2 linked regions of the Tribolium castaneum genome follow. The protein of the gene in region 2 purifies or fractionates together with the protein of the main gene of each other region. This does not show direct contact. Links are inferred from orthologs where the notes say so. Each region holds a gene or a part of one and is shown on either strand. Other genes may lie near its edges. The genes, in order: Ccdc56; cytochrome c oxidase subunit 5A, mitochondrial.

Region 1 (2,448 bases), on a different chromosome or scaffold from region 2:
CTGCACATTTTTAAATCGGGAATCGAAGTACATGACGTAATAGTGCTTCAAAAGTTACGTGTGCATGCAAAATTTCAAGTTAATACGATAACAGGAAGAGCCCCATGGAGTGCGAGAAAATTTTAGTTGAAGTGAAACAATTTTGTAAAATTTTAAAAATGGATTTCGTATCAGGATCACAGGAACGCAAAAGGGTAATGAGAAAAAATATATAATTCAAAATACACGCATGTGTATAACTGGTTGCATGCAAGCGGCGCTAAAAATTTCGTGACCTCTTTGCGTTCCTATGATCCTGATACGAAATCCATTTTTAAAATTTTGCTGAATTTCACCTAAATTTTCTTTCACTTACCAAAATTTTAGGTGAAATGAAACAATTTTGCATAATTTTAAAAATGAATTTCGTATCAGAATCACAGGAACGCGAAGAGATCTTGAACTTTTTTACTTCTTTGTGTTTCTGTGATCCTGATACGAAATCCATTTCTAAAATTTCGCAAAACTTGAAAATAATGCTCGGACCAGGATTACAGGAACGCAAAGGGGTCTTTGACTTTTTTCCTGATACGAATCTTTTTTCTAAAAAGTTAGAGAAATTGGGAAAGTTATAAAACAAAATTCGAAATTTTAACATATTTATTGAAACATTCAACTGAAACAAAAAACATAGATTCTTCAATCCCATTCTTCCAACTTTTCTGACCGGTTTCGCCCTTCTTGGGGCCCATCAGTGCAGCGCAGTCCTGTGAATGGAATGATCCCTATTATTTTTATAAAAAGGATATTTGTAGAAGTCACATCACTCATCGGACAACCGCAGACTGGTTTTACTCCATTTTTTAAGTTGAATTAAAGAAGTATTGGGATTTAAAAAAAAATATTTAATTTTTTTTAATAAAATGCGATTTTTCGTTCTTGTTGGAGATGAGAAGAGCAGAAAAAATCCTTCGGGATTGTAGGATTCCAAAAGAGCAGAACCACCCTTCTGTCTCCACCAAGAACGAAAATATTTCGTGTTTTCTATGTTGCATTCTGTTAAATTTTAATTCGAGTTTTATATTTCCAATTTTTTATTTTAAAATTTTGGGTGCCATCTTACCATCAGGTGTCCAAACATTACTTTACAGGAACCTAGAAAAAGATCTGTGTGTTGTACTCTGAAACAGTAGTTTACAGTAATCTGTAAATTAATATTTTTTATACACTAAAAATTCGGAAAAAAAAATCGGCATTGTGGGGCTACATGTAAATGAATTTGTAACTTATTTTGGTGCTGTGTAAACCGATTCCGAGTAAAATATTCTAAATTTGGATTTTTCTATAACCGAAAAATGTTCGCAATAGTAGTTTTCTTCCAAACTTGTAGGGTATGCTCTTAGGGCCTTGTTTTCCACAGCTGTACACTAAAAACATTAAAAAATGCATCATTTTATGCTTTTTCCAATATTTACCAAATAAACAATTCGCCCGAATTGCATTTGACGCCGAGTCTCGTTCGTCCGAAAACAGTTAAGAGCGAAAAATGTTTAGTGTTGGTAGCTCTGATACTGTGCCATTGACGTGACATTAACCACAGACCAAAAAAGACATTAATTAACTTTCGAGGTTATGTCCGCACTTTTTTGCACAAATCCCCAAAACAGTTAATATTTACGATGTCAGAGAGTGATCGCATGCCCAAAATTGACCGCACCAAACTGAAACAAACCGATATCGACTTCATAAAATTCGTGGAAAAGCAGAATTTGGACCGTGTCCGAAAACTGCAAACCCTTCGCCGCAAAAACCTGATCACTGTTAGCCTCCTTGGAACTGCAGTCTTGGGCATTTACGGCTATTCCATTTGGGCAGTGCGACAAGAAAACTTCCTCGACGATTTTGAAATCCCAACCACTGTAACAGAATCAGCAAAGTAGTAATGGCAGCGGCCAATCTTAGGTTACCCCCCTTGCCCACAGTGAGGGACTTAATTAAGTTGTATAAGTTAAGGGCGTTACGTCAGCTATCGCAAAACTTTCTTTTGGACGAAAGAATCACCGACAAAATCGTTAAAGCGGCTGGAAATATTCGGAATCATTATGTTTGTGAAGTGGGCCCTGGGCCCGGCAGTATAACCCGGTCCATCATCAGGAAGTGCCCCAAGAAGCTCATCGTGGTGGAAAAGGACCCCCGATTTGTGCCCATCTTGGAGTTGCTTCAAGAAGCGAGTCAGAGTCACGTCAAAATGGGGATTAAAATTCAGGATATCCGGGATTTTAATTTCGAGGAGGGTTTTGCGGGCGCTCCTGCACGCGAGTGGACGGACTACCCGCCCCCCATTCACCTCATTGGCAATCTGCCCTTCAGCGTTTCAACGAATTTGATTATCCGGTGGTTACATGCGATTTCGGAGCAAAGGTCGGCTTGGAGTTTTGGGCGCTCTACCATGACCTTGACGTTCCAGAA
Region 2 (2,993 bases):
TTTAGATCTATATGGCCAACTACCTGTAGTGGTAACGAATTGTAGCACCATATAAACATCACATACACTAAAGATATCTTCCTGTTATCACTCCCAGTTACACGGTTTTGAAGATATCTTTCTTCTGTTTTTGTTTATATTTAATGTGCTGGCACAAGAGGCAGATGTTTGTCCATAAAATTTTCTAAAAAATTGTACATTACACCTACCAACTGGCCTTATGTTACTTATAAAAATGCCTTTGGTTCTACGCACTGTAACGAAATTTTAATGATCTTGGCCTGATCATTAATTTCAGTTGTAAATTTTACTAGAATTCTGTAAAACCAAATAAAGCTATGAATTATGTACTTCACGCGTTTTCATTCCTACAACCATCAGCAAGGCACCGTTGAGGTTCGTATTTGATCGGATTAAGTCGACAAACAACCAGCCAATCGAGTGTTAGCATTTGACGTCATCGACTAATTCGGTTTCTCTTCCGATGAAATTAAAGTTACTAACATCGCGCTCAAAATATTCGACTAAATTGACATTAATAAAATAAGATGTGCATTTACCTGAGGCTTTTGCCAAATATATAACCATAAATAAATCGATTGCACCTGTGAATAGTTTGACAGAACCACAAAACATGGCAGGCTGGATGATTACCAACGTAACGAACGCAATAGACAACTATCTGATTTGTATTTTTTAGTGATTTTAACGTTCTTTGGATATTTGAAAATGCCTTATGTAACGGAATCATCATTTCCAGGAGAAAATTACGAGATTTAACTTATATACTGTTTTATTATTTAATTAATAACACGATACATTGACTAACTAAGCAGACATCTAGTGAATGTCATAGACTGACTCCAGGGCCAATTCTGGCTTGTCATAGCCCAACTCCTCAGGCGTATCAATTCCAAGTTCAGAGAGAGTGGGCCTGATTTCCTGGATGATGTAGGGGTAGATCTCGTTGACTTTCCCTCCACATTTATCTTTCACAGCTTCAACAATCCTCACGGCAAGAGCATAGTCATTAACCCTGCGGCAAGCCTTCAAAGCCGCAATCAGGATTTTAGGTTCGGGGACCAAATCATGCCCACAAAGATCATTAATCCCTTGCCTGATTTCCCACCCATCAATGTCCTTCCTGTTGAAGAAGTTCTCGTACCTACAATACAACAATTACACAAGTTAGTTATTTTTTAAGGGTGCTTCACACGTTATACAAACAAAAATCGCAAATTACGTAATTTACCTCGTATCGAACTGTTCGTCTGTCTCTGTGCTGTGAGCGGACATGAACCGTGTTGTTGTGGCCACAGAGGGCTTTGAGACTTGCACAGCCCCTCTCACGAGGGAGGTTAAGCGGAGGGCTGTTGTACGGAACATGTTTTTTGGCAAAATTACAACAAAACCTCACGATGGCGATGAACACTCGGTGTGACAAGTGCCAATAAAGTGAACTACGGGGCTTTTAAACGCGCAAACGCGTTACGTAAATGCGTTTGAACTAATTTCAAAACTCGCGCCCTTTCGATACATCCAGAGTACGTGATTTTTTAAACAATGCGAGTTTAAAAATAGAAACGGAAGCTTATCATGCTATTTTATGCTCATTGAATCATTGGAAATTAAACAACAACAAGGAAAAATGTGTTAAGAAGGATGCAATGTGCTAATAGTGATGTGACATTGAAGTCACGTTTATAAAAATATCTATTTTGCAAGAAGCAACTGCATCATCTTTTCGAACTTAAAATAATTTGTATTAATAAATAATGACGTAATGGAGAAGGAATTTCTTCAATTTGGGTTCACTGGGGTCTCGGTGCAGCTGATGTGCGCTAGATGGCGCCGTTAAACACCACGCCTACCAACACGAAAGGTTTTCGTCCAAAATGAAATAAAAATGAATCATTTTCGTTGAAGTATAATGGACAGTCAAATCCTTCGTTTAGACATTTTTGCCATATGATTAGGTGACTGAAAATCCGGTGAAACTCGCAGATCTGAACCAGTGATAGTGAAAATAAGTGATTTGGTTAGTGAGTGTGACGACCGCCTAGACCGCACCTATCTCTGTTGTGTGTTTGTAGTGTAGTGATAAATCGTTATCATGGACAAATAACATAGATTTTGAAATAATCTGGTAAGTTTTTCTGTGTCTGTAATGAGCCTAGATAATAGGCTGTTATCGAGATAACAGAGATAACGACCTGTGCAAAAACAAAACACCAAGTTGCACCTTCGATACGTCGAGCTTTAATTTATGTCAAAAGTGAGAAAACGATCAACATTCAACGACTTGGAATGCATTGTTTTCCTCCCGAATATCGCTAATAATGAGTCACTTTCGATTGATTTTGGGGGTAATATCCCCCGAACCATTGTGTAATATCTAAATTTAGTTAACCTAATCTGAAAATAATTCTTTCGCAAGATCAAGTTGCCGGTGGTTTTTTGACATTTCCACAATTTGTCATTTCCGAAATGTAAATGAAGTCATCCTTATTTCAAATGCTTCGACATGTTATTGAAGTCTGTTTATCGTAAGTCCAATTCGGGTAACCTATTCTTAAATTTAATCAATGGATATAAATAGCTCAAATACTCAAGTAATTGCATTCGTAATTTATATTCATGTCATACTCATGATTTGAGTCGCGGACGACGCGTTAAATCCATCCCACATGTAATTATTGTCAAATTTCCTTGTCATTTGACACAAGACTGTGTTTACACAGTTCGCACCCTCCGTGCTCAAGGGGTTTCTGAAACCTTATATTTAGAAGAATTATTTGCTTTACTCTCGAAATGACTCACTCAGCTTTGATGATTCCACTCGCATCCCTTCCTCTCTAATTTGAATGAAAATTTACAAATTTATCCAAAGGAAGAACGGACGCACTTATTAATCAATCAAATTACTAGTGACGTAATCAAACCACTTGTTAAAAGAAAAGTGTGTAATTATTAGGGTAATTAGTACAAGGTGG

The links.
Region 1: the proteins of cytochrome c oxidase subunit 5A, mitochondrial (region 2) and Ccdc56 purify together in Homo sapiens (affinity purification with western blotting; 3 studies listed by BioGRID and IntAct, with this or other methods). This does not show direct contact. The link is inferred for Tribolium castaneum from reciprocal best matches to the Homo sapiens genes COX5A and COA3.

Annotation. Positions count from the first base shown.
Region 1 is NC_087394.1:32,882,512-32,884,959, forward strand, and holds Ccdc56 (cytochrome c oxidase assembly factor 3, mitochondrial), read left to right. Parts: upstream 1-1,658; coding exon 1,659-1,919; downstream 1,920-2,448. Other genes in the region: mtTFB1 (dimethyladenosine transferase 1, mitochondrial), read left to right, coding at 1,922-2,448. UniProt on the Homo sapiens protein: Core component of the MITRAC (mitochondrial translation regulation assembly intermediate of cytochrome c oxidase complex) complex, that regulates cytochrome c oxidase assembly.
Region 2 is NC_087403.1:1,167,994-1,170,986, forward strand, and holds cytochrome c oxidase subunit 5A, mitochondrial, read right to left. Parts: upstream 1,482-2,993; 5' UTR 1,387-1,481; coding exon 1,253-1,386; intron 1,166-1,252; coding exon 841-1,165; 3' UTR 776-840; downstream 1-775. Other genes in the region: Nrg (neuroglian), read left to right, coding at 2,515-2,546. UniProt on the Homo sapiens protein: Component of the cytochrome c oxidase, the last enzyme in the mitochondrial electron transport chain which drives oxidative phosphorylation.